3 linked regions of the Cricetulus griseus genome follow. The protein of the gene in region 3 interacts with the protein of the main gene of each other region in a pairwise test. Links are inferred from orthologs where the notes say so. Each region holds a gene or a part of one and is shown on either strand. Other genes may lie near its edges.

Evidence for each region. The genes of interacting proteins can lie anywhere in the genome.
Region 1: the proteins of Prkaca (region 3) and Prkar2a interact in a protein complementation assay, tested with the Homo sapiens proteins (2 studies listed by BioGRID). The link is inferred for Cricetulus griseus from reciprocal best matches to the Homo sapiens genes PRKACA and PRKAR2A.
Region 2: the proteins of Prkaca (region 3) and Prkar2b interact in binary tests that used the Homo sapiens proteins (3 or more experiments, as listed by UniProt). The link is inferred for Cricetulus griseus from reciprocal best matches to the Homo sapiens genes PRKACA and PRKAR2B.

The regions. Positions count from the first base shown.
Region 1 is NC_048597.1:216,865,529-216,870,399, reverse strand, and holds the start of Prkar2a (cAMP-dependent protein kinase type II-alpha regulatory subunit), read right to left. Parts: upstream 3,034-4,871; 5' UTR 2,799-3,033; coding exon 2,546-2,798; intron 1-2,545. UniProt on the Homo sapiens protein: Regulatory subunit of the cAMP-dependent protein kinases involved in cAMP signaling in cells. Type II regulatory chains mediate membrane association by binding to anchoring proteins, including the MAP2 kinase.
Region 2 is NC_048598.1:169,644,071-169,648,955, forward strand, and holds the start of Prkar2b (cAMP-dependent protein kinase type II-beta regulatory subunit), read right to left. Parts: upstream 3,034-4,885; 5' UTR 2,804-3,033; coding exon 2,503-2,803; intron 1-2,502. UniProt on the Homo sapiens protein: Regulatory subunit of the cAMP-dependent protein kinases involved in cAMP signaling in cells. Type II regulatory chains mediate membrane association by binding to anchoring proteins, including the MAP2 kinase.
Region 3 is NC_048596.1:160,443,175-160,448,060, forward strand, and holds the start of Prkaca (cAMP-dependent protein kinase catalytic subunit alpha), read right to left. Parts: upstream 2,954-4,886; 5' UTR 2,788-2,953; coding exon 2,742-2,787; intron 1-2,741.

The DNA of each region.
Region 1 (4,871 bases), on a different chromosome or scaffold from region 3:
TTTGAATTTTCACTACTGTGAATAACACTACAATGAACAGCTAATTATGCAAGTATGTGACCACTCACTTTCAGATCTTTTGACTACATATCCACTCTAGAGTAATTCAATATTTAACCTGTTGAGGATCTACTAAAATAACTTCCTTACAGGCTGGACATTTTACAGTCCAATTTGGTGTTTCAACTTATTCACACCCGTGTATGTGTGTGTGTGTGTGTGTGTGAGAGAGAGAGAGAGAGAGAGAGAGAGAGAGAGAGTGTGTGTGTGTTCTATTTTTCATTAATAACCACCCTAGTAAACTATGCATGGTGGGACTTAGAAGGCAGTGGCAACTGGATCTCTTTGAGTTCAAGGGCAACCTAGTCTACAGAGTGAGTTTCTGGGCAGCCAGAGCAATACAGAGAAACCCTGTCTCGAAAAACAAAAAAACAAAACCAAAGTAAACCCACTTTAGCTGGGTCATGGTGTTAAACGCCTTTAATCCCAGCACTCGGGAGGCAGAGGCAGAGGCAGAGGCAGGTGGATCTCTGTGAGTTCAAGACCAGCCTGGTCTACAAGAGCTACTTCCAGGACAGCCTCCAAAGCCACAGAGAAACCCTGTCTCAAAACAAAACAAAACAAAAAAACCATGTTTGTTTTGTTCAAAAGGAGGTCAAGGAGTTGGGAACTACCTTGGCAGGCAAGAGTCCTGTTGCTCCTTTTTTTGTTGTTGTTTTTTTGTTTTGTTTGAGACAGGGTTTCTCTGTATTGTTTTGGAGCCTATCCTGGAACTCAAATCAGTAGACCAGGCTGGCCTCGAACTCATAGAGATCCATTTGTCTCTGCCTCCCAAGAGCTGGAATTAAAGATGAGTGCCACCATTGCCCAGCTGAGTGCGGCTCATCTTGCAAAGGACCTGGGTGCATTTTCTGCACCCACATCAGACAGCTCACAACTGCCTGTAACTCCAGCTCCAGGGGATCTGATGTATTCTGACCTCTGAGAGCTGGGAACTACAGTAAATATACACATGTGGCACGCGCGCGCACGCACGCACACACACGCACGCACGCACACACACACACACACACACACACACACACACACACACACACACACACACACACACACACACACACACACACACACACACACACACACACACACACACACACACCATCAAAGACAAACCAGAGGTGTTGGGCATAGGATGGACATTTTTAATCCCAGCACCACTCAGGAGACAGAGGCAGGCAGGTTTCATGAGGTCAAGGCCAACTTGGTCTACACAGTTAGTGGCAGGCCATCCAAGGTGACATTGTGAGCCCTTGTCTCAAAAAAACAAGAGAAAGAGAGAAGAGTAATTAAAATAAATAAAAAAATTTAAAAAAGCAGGCTAATTCTATTAAGTTAAAAAAAAGCACAAGTGGGCTGGGCGTTGGTGGCACATGCCTTTAATCCCAGCACTCGGGAGGCAGAGGCAAGTGGATCTCTGTGAGTTTGAGGCCAGCCTGGTCTACAAGGGCTAGTTCCAGGATAGGCTCCACAGAGAAACCCTTTCTCGAAAAACAAAAAACAAACAAACAAACAAAAAGCACAAGTGGAAGCAACCAAGTAAATGAAATTGCTCCTTGCCATTCCCACTTAAATCATATGAACAGAATGCTACTTGTATACTTTCCTGCAACCAACACCCTAAACAAGGTATTATGCTCACCAATTTTATTCAAGTGTTTTAACTCATTTAAATTTAAATTTAAATTTCTAAATTCTTAAGGGATTATATTTTAAGAAAAGGAAATGCATAATTAACCGACCATGTATGGAATGACCTAACTGAAATTTCCTTTAAATACTTAAGCAAGGGGAGGGTGGGAAAAGGTTAAAAAAAAATACTGACAACTGTTGAATATAACAGCATTGAGGGGGTTGGTTCAACTGTTGAGTGTGAGTGACAGCATTAAGGAAGGGGTTCAGCTTATCTGCCTTCTCGTGTGTTTGTCTGAAATGTTTTCATTGAGGCAGAGGCATCTAAGATGTCACAAGTTCGAGGGCAGCCTGAGCTACCTACTGAGCTTCTGTTTAATCAAGGCTACTGACCTAGTCTTAAAAAAAAATGGTTTTCAGCAGTAACTCTTCCAAAACCTAAATCTTTGCAAATAAAGTTATCATGCTGCTTATTCAGGACAAGTTGCCGAGTGCGGATGCTCTAGCCTTCGGAAAGGAAGCAGGCTATGGGGTCTAAAGCAAAGGCAAAGCAGCTTCTGGCGGGACCGACTTAAGCTCCGCGCCACCACGCGGACCAAAGAACGCGCACGCTTCATTCAAGGCTGAATCTGACAAATCACTCTCTGTGAACGCTCGGGCGCAGAGAACCGCGGAGCTCAATTTGGAACCGGCACACGCCGGGAAACCTCAGCAGCTCGGCTGGAGCGCTCCCGGGTCTCGGCCCAGGGCAAGGCGGGGCGCCGAGCCCTCGGCTCCGCCGCGCGGCCCTCGGGTCCCACCCTGGACCCTCGGCTCGGTGCCCACCTCGCAACTCGGCCTTGCCCCGCCCGCCTACCTTCCAGATCCCCGTCGTCCGAGTCGGAGTCGCTCTCCTTGTCCTCCTCGGTGGCGACCGCGCTAGACTCCGGCGTGTGAAAGGTCGTCGTGGCGGTGATGTGCGTGCTTGGCTCCTGGGCGCGGGCCTCGCGCAGGCGTGTGAAGTACTCCACCGCGAAGTCGAGGAGGTCGGGCGGCTGCTGCCGCAGCACCTCCACAGTGTAGCCCTGCAGCAGCTCCGTGAGCCCCGGCGGGATCTGGATGTGGCTCATGCCTGCGACGGCCGAGGGGACCGGCGGGCTAGGGGCCGCCGGCGGCTGCAACCTGCGCACTCCCTCACGCCGGCCTGTCACTCGGCGCCCGCCGTCTCCCGCGCGGCCCGCCTCGGCCTTTCTCGCGTCGCGCCTTGTTTCGGCCGGTTCTGCGTTTGTTGTGCCGGCCGCGCGACCCTTCCGCTACCAAGCCAGCCTGGCGCCGCCGCTGCTGTCACCCGGCCGCAGCCGCCGCAGCCGCCGCCGCCGCCGCCGCCGCCGCCGCCGCCGCGGCCGACGGCTGGCGAGCTGGACGGGCGCGGCAGGCGCCCGGGTTGTGACGCACGCGGCCTCGGGCGTGCGCGTCCCCGCCGAGAGATGGCCCACAGTGCGCGTGCGCCGCTGGGCCGTCCGCTCTTGGAGCAGTCCATGGTCAAGGTGCGGGAGGCCCCGGGGATGAGGAAAGAGTGACCCAGCTGCGAGGCGGGCTGGTTAGTGCGTCTCCCCTGGTCACAAAGACCTTTCACTTACGCTTTCAGAGCATGCTGAGCGCCTCTCGACCGCGCCAGGGACACTGATGTGACACAGGGCCACCTCACCTTGATTTCTGCTCTAGTGGAGGAGCAGAGGGTTCACTCTAAGGAATGACGTTAATGCTAACCCCCAGAATTGAATGGGACTCGTCCAGAGGACGAACTGGAAGAAAGTCGTCTCCTAACGCGGTACTGCGAGAACAAAGACCTGGGCAAGCCAGGACCACCTTGACTGACAGGTAGAACAGTGCAACTGAATACAAGGTCCTAAGGAGTCTAGAATGAGGTCATGAGATGTCAAAATGGTAAGGCTTTGTAGGAAGTAAAAGTTTCAACGAGATAAGTCATTTGGAAGCTTCAGGCAGAGAAATAACCCTGAAAGAGCTTGCGCAACCAAATGTGGACAGTGAGAAAAGGGAATCGGCCCGGAGCGAGACAGAACTTTGGCCTTGTTCTTTCTTTTGGACACTTCCCACCCCGTTCTTCACCTCTTTCCTCCCCACTCCCTAATCTGGGCCCTGGGCCACATTATTTAATAAAGCTGAGCAGACCTCAGGCACTGTTGCCTTTTGCCTCTGGGAAGAGGGCAGAGGTGAACTGGAGAGGCCAGGCTATTACCCAACTTGCTTCCTCCTGTCACCAAACTTGAAGAGAACGTAAGAAGATACCCTTCCTGGGATATCCAGCCACAACCTCGGTGCTGGCCAAAGACCCAGTGAGAATAAAGTCTTCTCCCTGCCAGAACCACCCAGCAACTGATTAGCTGTTGATGTGAGAACTGAAGAGTATTGGAGATGGTTAAGCACCACCTGGTAATTACCCAGTATTAATTAAGATCTTCTCTAGCACCGCCCATACAGACTTGGCACAAACCCAAGCCCTCAGTGCTGCTGTGAACTGACAGTTGAATACCTCACTAAGGTACTCAGTGTAGAGGCCCTAGGCTAGGTAGACCTGTGATTACAAATAGCTGTGCATTCCTGAATATGGTCCTTAACCCCACAGAGAAGTGCTGGATGTTAAATGGTGGAGAAGCAGGGTCCAGTGTGTTGGCTGGGTGCTTATTGCAAAGTTGTGAAGAATGAATGAATGAATGATAAATTTCAGGACAACAACAAAAGCAGGAACTGCTCTGACTTCACAATCCCATAACAGGTATCCTTTCCTTCAAAGCCATGCTTCTAATCCCAGAACATGAAGGCCGCATTAGACAGGCAGTCTGGAGTCAGGCATGGTGAATGCTTGATACCCAGCACTTGGGAGATGGAGGTAGCAGGATCAGAGTTCAGTGCCAGCCTCTGCTACATGGTGAGTCCAAGCTAGCCTGGGTTACATAAGACCATCTCAAACAAAAAAACAAAACATGACAAAGACAAGCAGTGGCAATAGGTCTTTTCTGCCCTTGGACTGACTGACTCAAGTTTTCCAAGATTCAGACATTGCCATTAATGCCCAGAAAACCTGAGTGTGCCTCCCAGTGCACCATAATACCTAGGGAATTGCCTCTCTCTAAGCAATCCTACAGCCAACCTTTTGGAAAGGTAAATTCACAACTCCAAGT
Region 2 (4,885 bases), on a different chromosome or scaffold from region 3:
AACAGTTCTCTAAGAAGGTACTAGATAATGTTATTTTCCCAAACTTCAAGCTGCACGTGAAATGTAAGCTTCATTGATCCTGTACCCTGTGCTGTGCCACACAGACTGGTGTCCGTCCACACGTACTCTCTCCTGTGCCAAGAGAATGACCTAGTGTCTTAAGTATTCTCCTGGATATAGACATACCTTAATAGGTCTGTAGGGTTTTGGTCAATTTCCCATGTGTGTCTTTTCCACAAATGAGTATATCTTGAAGTGTGTGTGTGTGTGTGTGTGTGTGTGTGTGTGTGTGTGTGTGTGTATGTGTGTGAGAGAGAGAGAGAGAGAGAGAGAGAGAGAGAGAGAGAGAGAGAGAGAGAGGGCGTGCGTGCGTGTATGTGCATACATGCACATGACTATATATATATTTCCCCCTTTGTCCAGGAGTAAACTATGGCCTTGTATGAATTCAAGCTCCAGAGAGTACACTTGGTTAAAGATCTATTTGGAAAAAAAATGATCCAGATGATAAGATGCCCACAGTCTGAAAGGGCCATTCACAAAAAAGTCTGCCAAGCATTCTATAGCCTACAATTGTTTTTAACCGCTTCTTACACAGTTTACTTCTATGGGAACAAGAGTGTGACTTAGAAGAATAAAAATGAACTGCCCCAACAGAGATTATACTAACACCAAACATACATCTGCTGGATAATGATCAAATTGTGCTAGGGTAGAGCCAAAACTTCTGAAATCCCTGGAGGTAGAGGTGGGAATAAACTAGTTAAGTATTCATTACAACTGACCTTGAGTAATTTTATAGGAAAGATGACTTGAAGAATATAAAGCTTCATAAAAGTAAATACCCCTACTGCTTACAAATGCACTTCTTTGTTCCAATGTGCAGGATACACACCCTTGCAAGGAGAAATCAAGTCAATGCAAAGTACTTCAAGAGAATTAAACAAAAAGGGGTTAGCTGTATTAACATCATAGTCTGAAGAGCATAAAGGTTCTTTACCAAGTCCCCCATCTCCTGTTGCCTGCCATCCAGTCCCTATCTCCTTTGTGTACTGCTTGCCTCCATGTGTATCTCCCTTCACACACAGTGTGTGCACAAGGGCGTGTGCACACACGTCATAGATGACACTGCAGGACAAGCATTTGATTTGGTGTGGGAACAATTGAATTTATGACTACCCTATCCTCAAAAGCACCAAATGTCCCATATTAAGATTTTTAAATAGTAATCTTCCCTTTCACATTTAAAGAGCACTAATGTCCACAGTTTCACGTTTTAGACCAGCTAAAAGTGCATTACTCTTGTAACCCAGCCAATATGTAATTAATTCTACAAAGAAATAAAAAATCTTTCTAGGAAGGGACACAGGAAATGAAGTGTTTTCATTGTATGAAATGCATTGTGGACACACAAATCACCAGCACTATAAATAAATAAAAGTTGCATGCGTGCTTGCCTTACACCACATAGAAAACACTAGTACATTTGCACACCATGGCATTTTAGCCTGGGTTCCTGAAAAACACTGTGTAAATACAAGGGACTGTGAACGTGTGTGTGTGTGTGTGTGTGTGTGTGTGTGTGTGTGTGTGTGTGTGTGTGTGTATGTGTGTATCTGGTGTGTCAGGGAGAGGTTGGGAAGCACGAGGGACGGCACTTGCCTTTTGGCAGCTATTTAAGAAAATTCCTTTTCTCTCTCATTCATTCTTTCTAGCCTCAGTGTCTGGCAAGGTCCTTACAGTTACTCACTGGCTTTTCATTCTAAAGACAGCCGACATGCTCTTAGAGCTTCCTATGGTGTTATTTTTTTCCCACACACTTAAAAAAAATCAAACCATTCAATATATGTTTTGAAATTTTTTAAGAAAAGAAAATCATTGGCCTATTTCCTCACTTCAGAGACCCCTTACATATCTGGCTAAATGTGATCCTTTGTTATGCGTCCAAAAATATCTCCACCACATGATATTGGAAAATAATAAATTATTCGTATTCCAAGGATGTCACAGCTATTACCATTCATTTGCTTTACCTTAGTGAGTCGATGTCACACTCCTCTTACTGAGTCCTACACGCTTGCCTTTTTCTCTGCGAACACTCCATTAATAAATTTAAGGGCTGAAAAGAGGACACCAAGCGCCCTTCATGCACAATGGCACTCTCCAAGACTGAGACATCTCCAGCCACGGGAAAGTTAACCTTCCAGCAAGATGCCCACCCCAAATCGGCCAAGGAAGAAAGGTGACAGAGGGGCTGCGGAGCGCAACCTTTCATTTCTCCACCTCCAGAGAAAGGGAGGGCTTGGCAAGAGAGCGGAGTAGGAAGGTGGGCGAGTGGGAGACCGAAATGGGTGCCGGGGTGGGTGGGTGTGGGCGGGATGGGAAGATAGAGAGTTCGGGGAAGGTGGGGAGCTCAGCGCAGGGTTCGAGAGCAAGGCGGGGTTGGCGAGCGAGACGGGCGGGCGGGCGCGGTGGTCAGGGCGCGAGGGGGCCGGTCCTCACCATTGAACGCCCCTGCTTCCGCGGCCTCCTCCTCCTCGCCGTTTTCGGAGTCGGAGCGCATGGGCTCCTCAGCGAAGTTGACACCCTTACTGGGGGCGCCGCCCCCGACGGCGGCGCCCGCGTTCCCCCAGGTCCTGCCCTCATGGCCGAAGCAAGCGGCGCCCTTGCGCTCGTTCTCCTGCTGCAGCCGCGTGAAGTGCTGCAGCGCGAACTCCAGCAGGTCGGCCGGCTGGTGCCTCAGCACCTCCACCGTGAAGCCCTGCAGCAGCTCCGTGAGCCCCGCGGGGATCTCGATGCTCATCCTGCCTGTGCACGCCCCGGCGCCTGGGCGCCGCCCTCGCACCCTGTCCGCTGTCCGGTCTCAGGCTGCGCGGCCCCGAGCGAGCGCCCCCGGCGCTACCGGCTGCGAACGCGGCGCCCTGGGCCCCTGGCGCGGCTGCTCCGTGCGGCGGCGGCGGCGGCAGAGCGAGCACAGCCCGGGAGGGTTGGCAGCATCTCCAGCTCCTCCCGCTCCCTCTCCCGCCACCACTGCACCGCCCCACGCCCGGCGCCCCGCCCCCGCCCGCGCGCCCACGTGATCCCCGGAAACCATGGCAACCCGGCAGGCGGGTTCAGCGCCACTTGCTAAGTGGCCTCTGGGTGGAGGCAGCGGGAACCTAGGGCGTGAGGCCGACAGCTCTCAGAGCAGATCCTGCGCATCATTCTGCCCAAGCCCTCCCGGAGTTGGCGTCGTGCAATTTGTTCTGAAACTTCAGCCTCCACCTTGGTGGTGGCTTTTCTTCTCCTAGAAGCCAACAGTAAGAGAAATGTGCATGGTGTCTTTTGTTAAAGTCACACAGCTGTACTGGTTCTCTTTTGGATACAGGAAATATGGCTACTTATTTGTTACAACATTTTCTTTCACTAGGTTTTTTCCCGCTTTTCAGTCACCTGGCTGTGATGGTCAGCTTGCTGTGCAGATGTTCTGCCACGGCATGCTTGGTGCATTTCTTGCTAGTTGCTGAGACAAAGGCAACATTTATTTATTCAATTTTTATTAATTTGTTCGAGACCAGCCTGGTCTACAAGAGCTAGTTCCAGGACAACCTTCAAAGCCACAGAGAAACCCTGTCTCCAAAACACCAAAAAAATAAATTATTATTATCAAGCACCCCTCCCTCCTCTCCTCCCACTCCCTCCCCATCCCGTCTGCTCCTCGGAAAGGGTAGGGCCTCCCCTAGGAAGTCTACTAAGTCTGTCCCATCATCTAGTTGAGTCAGGACCAAAGCACCTCTTCAACCCCACCCCGTTTCTACGCTGGGCAAGGTGGCTCTCCATATAGAATGGGCTCCACTAAGTCAGTCTGTTTATGCATTAGTGTTAGGTCTTGGACCCATTGCCAGTGGCCTCATATATTGTCCCAGTCACACCATTGTCAACTATATTAAGGGAGTCTAGTTCAGTCTTACGTAGATACCCCATTTGTCAGACCTGAATAAGTGATCTCTCACTGGCTCGGGTCACCTGGTTTCCCCATCATGGTCTTGACTCCTTTGTTCATATTATCACTCCTCTCTCACTTTGATTGTACTCCAGGAGCTTGGCCCATTGGTTAGTTGTGGATTTCTGCATCTGCTTCCATCTGTTTCTGGAAGAGGATGCAAGCTCCTCTGGGGTTGTGGATTATAGGCTGGGTATCTTTTGCTTTATGTCTGGTATATTTGTCTTTCTGGTTTTGGGTTACCTCACTCAGGATGGTTTTTAGGATGCCATTGTTTCTTAACACTGAATAGTACTCCATTGTGTAAATGTACCACATTTTCTTTATCCATTCTTCAGTTGAGGGGCATGTAGGTTGTTTCCAGGTTTTGGCTATTACCAATAATGTTGCTATGAACATAGTTGAGCAATGTCCTTGTTTGGTGAGTGTGCATCCTTTGGGTATATGCCCAAGAGTGGTATTGCTGGGTCTTGAGGTAGGTTGAACCCTAATATTCTGAGAAATTGATATACTGATTTCTACAGTGGCTGTATAAGTTTGTACTCCCACCAGCAAAGGAGGAATGTTCCCCTTTATTCCACATCCTCTCAAGCATAAGCTGTCATTGTTGTTTTTGATGTTAGCAATTCTGATCAGTGTAAGATGGGATATCAGAGTGGTTTTGATTGGCATTTCCCTGATGACTAAGGATATTGAGCATTTCCTTAAGAGTCTTTCTGCCATTTGAGATTGTTCTGTTGAGAATTCTCTGTTTAGATCTATACCCCATTTTTAAATTGGATTATTTGGTAATTTGATGTCTAGTTTTTTCAACTCTTTCTATATGTTGGAGATCAGCCCTCCATCAGATATAAGGTTGGTAAAGAATTGTTCCCATTCTGTGGGGAGCCGTTTTGTCTTGTT
Region 3 (4,886 bases):
GGTCAATAAGCCTCAAGCCTGTATGGCACTTCCGTTTAGTTACATTGTATTCTAATGTATACCAGAGACTACAACAGGCAATCTCAGACTGCCATAGCTTAGGACCTATGAAAAATGAGTTAAGTTTTCACTTTTATTTTTTAAGGCGGTGTCTCCTTTATAGCAGCCCAGGTTGGCTTCAAACTCAGGTCCTTCAGCCTCACAGTTCCTCTTTTGCTTGATAAAGTTATGAGTTGCTGTGCCTGTTTGATATTTTAAATTTTTTACATTTATGGTGTGTGCACACACACTCTTATGGAGGTCAGAGGACAACTTGTAGGAGTTAAGTTTTCCCCTTCCACCATGTAGGTCCCAGGAAAACAACTCAAGACTGGCATGCTTGGCAGCAAACATCTTTACCTGCTAGGCCATCTTGATGAACACAGATTTTATCTGTATTTTGATACAAGGTTCTGCTGTCACCCAATCCAGCCTTTAATTCCTGGGCTCAAACAATCCTGCCTCAGCCTCTTGAATCGCTGGTAGCACCAATATACACTATTATTCACAGTATGTTTTTATCATTTTAAATTAAGAAAGTATGGCTAGGGTTTAACTCCTGTGGAGGCAGCTTAAGAATGAATGAAGGCTGGACATGGTGATGCACGCCTTTAATCCCAGCACTTGGGAAGCAGAGACAAGCAAATCTCTATGAGTTTGAGGCCAGCCTGATCTACAGAAAGAGTTCTGGGTCAGCTGGAGCTACACAGAGAGACCCTTGTCTCAAAAGCTAAAACAAACAAAAGAATGTCTAAGTTGAAACATTCTGGGGTCCAAGAGATCTTTGGGTAGACAGATCTGGGTGTGAATTCTGCTGCATGATGTCATCTGTGTCAAACTCAGATGGCTCATTTGGACAAAAGTCATCAAAATAAGTCTGTCTACAGAGCCCATTTAAGTTAGCCCTCTTGGATGCCTGATAAACAGTAGCTGGATTTCATCCCAACAAAAACAGCTGGCCAACTCGGAGACTGATCTTTTTCTTGGACCCCTTTATCCTCTGTAGCTCTTAGTTTCTGCTGAATGTGTCTGATATGCTTGAAGCTTTTTCAGCACTATGTCCCCTCAGTTTTCAAAAGGCTACTGCAATATACACCCCACTGCCAGAACCATCTACCTCCTGGTGGGCCTCACCTGCCAAGGGGGATGGCCCTCCCCTTCTGCCTGGGCCCCTCCAAGCTCAAGTCCAAGACCTTTTTGGGCACTACCCACCTGCTCCTGTCATCAAGCCCTCAACTACAAGCACTTGCCTCTCCGTCCCCCGCCCATCAGTGACATGCCAGGCCTCTTTAGACTGCCCCGCTGTTTGAAAGGGGGGAGGGGCAGAAAGTTCTTGGGCTTCGGTGGCATTCTGGGGACTCAAACACTGAGAAGGGCAGAGCTGGTCACAGCCCCTCCCCCCTTTTGGTGGGTCTGACTATTTCTGGGTAACTGAAGGGGATCTGCTTTAGCTTAGAATTACACCACTTTAAGAGGTGAGAGCATTGGGAACAGGCACAAGGTCCTTCTGAAGGCATTTCAAATACAGAATCAGTTTCTTTACCTGGCTGGAAAAATTCAGCATGTTTGGGGTGGGGAAGGGGGGAGTAGAACACACCTCCCTTTGGATGAGTCCAGGGTATGCACAGTATCCATCTGTCCTCAACAAACCAAATCATTAGCTGTCACCTTTTGCTGGGTGTCGTTACCCTACCCTTGCAATTCCTTTCTGACCATCCCAATTCAAGTCGAATGAGCCCTTGCTAACACATTTCATTCTCAGCCTTGAACCAGGCAGAGCGAAACAGTCCCAGGGACTGGGTGAATGACAGAACTGCAGTTGTGAAACGACCATTTATTGAGGGGCCTTCCAAGGAACCCAGAGCTTAGGGCAGGCCAGGAGATGGGAGGGTGCTCTGCCGATTTCCCCCACCCGCAACCCAAGAAAGAGGACAGACGCAATGGCTCTGAGCGAGACCAGCTAGAACTTGGATCTGGAAGCGCAGAAGCAGCTCTCTAGGTTCATAAACAGTCTGCCCACCCCAGCCAGGGCCAGACGCTTACATGGAGGAGGCAGAGTGACAGGATGAGAGGGGCAGAGGGACCCAGAAAGATCTTGTTCCCCATGCCAAGTGACACAGAAAGGGGAAAACAATGCAGGAGGTGGTCCTGGGAAACGCTCATGGGGCAAGGGGGCTTGGAGATGGGAGAATCGAGCAGGGATAGGAGAAAGATGGCGGGGGCTGGAGGGGGAGGGGTGTGGTCACCAAGTAGCTAAGGTCCCTGCAGAGTGGACCCCACAGCACTCCCGAGATTGGCAGGAGGCTGGATCAGGGTCAGGCATTGGGGCGCTGTGTGGAAAAGGTGAGTGACGAAGTGTGGGGGGATTAGAATATGGGGAAAGGGACTAGGAGAGGAGGGGGTGGGGTGGTGACAGGGCCCCATCTGGGGCCCCGGCGGTCATGCATGCAATGGTTGGCAGTGACAGCTGGGTGGGGGTGCACGGCCTTTAACGTGGGGGATGGTCGGCCATGGGCACGGGAGCCCTACCAGGGGCAAGGTTCCTCTGCGGTGCTCGGACCCCAGCGTGGACAGGCAGCAGGCAGCAGGCAGGGGTGCAGGCGGACAGGATGGGGGGGCACATGGGGGAGGGGCCATGCAGCGATGGCCAGAGCGAGGGCAGGCCGCAGCAGCCGGGACTAGGGTGACGGCCGGGAACTCACCGCTCTCCTGCTCGCTGCCCTTCTTGGCGGCGGCGGCGTTGCCCATCGCGGCGGCGTCGCGGCCGGGACCGGTCCCGGAGCTGCGGCGCGGCGGGTGCTAAGGCGGCCGGCGTCCCCGGAGCGTGCTGGGCAGCGGAGGCGGCGGCCCCTGGGGCTGGCTGCGCTGGCTGCGGCGCCACGACCCCCGCCCAGCCCCTGCTTCCCGCGTCTCTCTGCGCCCGCCCGCGGGGGAGCCTCAGCCCAAGTCCTCTGTCCGTGACGCCCCCGCACCCCGCCGCCCATTGGTTCAGGCCTCCCTGACAGACAGCCTCGCGCCGTTGTCCATTGGCCCTCCGAAACCTTCCCGCGCTACCATAGGCTCCCGGATGCTTGACGCGAGCTGCAGACGCTCAGCCACTCACGGGCTCGCGAGGCCGTAGTCGGGCGGTCGGATGCATGTGATTGGCCGAGAAGCCCAACAGGGCTTGGGGCTCGCCCTGCGAGGCCGCCGATTGGCTGAGGCGCGCGGCCTCAGTCAGTGTCAATCCCAGGGTGAGAGGGCGGGGTAGCTGCGCAGGCTGCGGCCCGGGGGGGCAGGCGTGCGGGCGGGGCGGCGGCTGGAGGGTAGCCGGGCGGCAGACGCTGCAAGGTGCGGGAGGCGGCCCCAGCGGACGCCGGTGCGGCACCGTGAGCCCTGCAGTCTCCCGCCCTGCCCAGTGCGGCAGCGGCCACGGGCCAGCGGAGGTTGACGCCACGGCGGGCCGGCGCAGAGGCTTGTCCACCTGCCAGCGGGGGAGGGGCCGACTGGCGCCGCGGGTCAGAGGTCGCCGGGCGCCGTTCGGCGTCATTCATAAGGCCTGACGCTGGGCGGCCGTGACCCGGCCAGCTCGGAGTTCTCCTTGTTTGCTCTAGCCACAGCCGGAGCTGCAAGAGGATGCTGGATCCAAAAGTGAGGGCAGGCTGGGAGGAGACTCTTAATGTCCCGTTTACTGTGGCCCAGCCTTAGGCCCCTGAAAAGTAATAACGAGGACACTGGCCAAGTACATGACTTCTCGTTCCCAGCACATTGGAACTGTCACACTCCCATTTGATGGAGGAGGAATGGTGAGACTGGTTCCTTGCTCTAGTCCATTTGCCTGGACATCGCTATCTGGAACCTGCCCTCTGGGGACAGGCAGGGAGCCATTCTCGTTCCTTCTGGATGCCCATCTTTAAATTTTGTTTTCATGCAATGCAGGGGTTGAACACAATGCCTACCAGCTGCTAAGCAAGCATTGTTCCTTGCCCAGGGTACTCTTTCAAGTCTGTGCTGCCAGAACAGGGTCAGTTTCCCACTGTGCCACTGACATCAGGGGCCTGAGCACTCTGCTGGAGGGGTCTCCTACACACTAGTTGGTGTTCAGAACCCCCACCCTAACACACTGGATGCTGGTATACTTCCATCTTCCTGCTGCCTGGAGCAACATAAATCATCTCCAGACTGTTAAATGTACTCTGGGAAACAAAATTATCCCCACCCCCACCAGAGAACCTCTGCAGTAGAGCATGGCCAGGGTGGAAGGTGCTGAGGGGACAATGGGCTAGCTCTCCCTGATGATAAAGGGTAGCTGGCCCTGAGCAACATAAACCCATAGATTCAATGCAGTACTCAGCAGTTCATACCCAACTTTCTAAGCCAGCAACTGTATGCACTCCTGCTACTAGATCAGCTACAGTCCTACTCTCCCTTCCAGAGAGTAGGGCTCCTCTGGATTATGGGAGCTGGCTGAATAGCCAAATGCTCCATCTCTGATTTGGGGAGTTACACCATAGCTAAGTGAAAAATTATCTAAATTGTGGCTGTGTGTGCCCTTGGCTCACAATGTTGCTCTATGCCTGTGGGTCAAGGTCATCAGTTGGAACAGCTGGTATACTTCAGCTTTGGCAAAGCAAAACAGTCTTTGAGCCTCAGCTTGTGGGGCAGACTGTACAACCAGATGAGACTAATAGGGAAGCAAGCAAGAGAAGGACCAGCTACTTTCAGGACAAGAGGTCACTCATGACATGGTGAAAGATACAGGAGGACAAAGAAACAGCATATATAAAAAGAAAACAATTACAGAGGCTAGAGGGATGACTTGCACTGGCTGCCCTTCCAGGGGATCTGGGTTCAATTCCCAGCTCCCA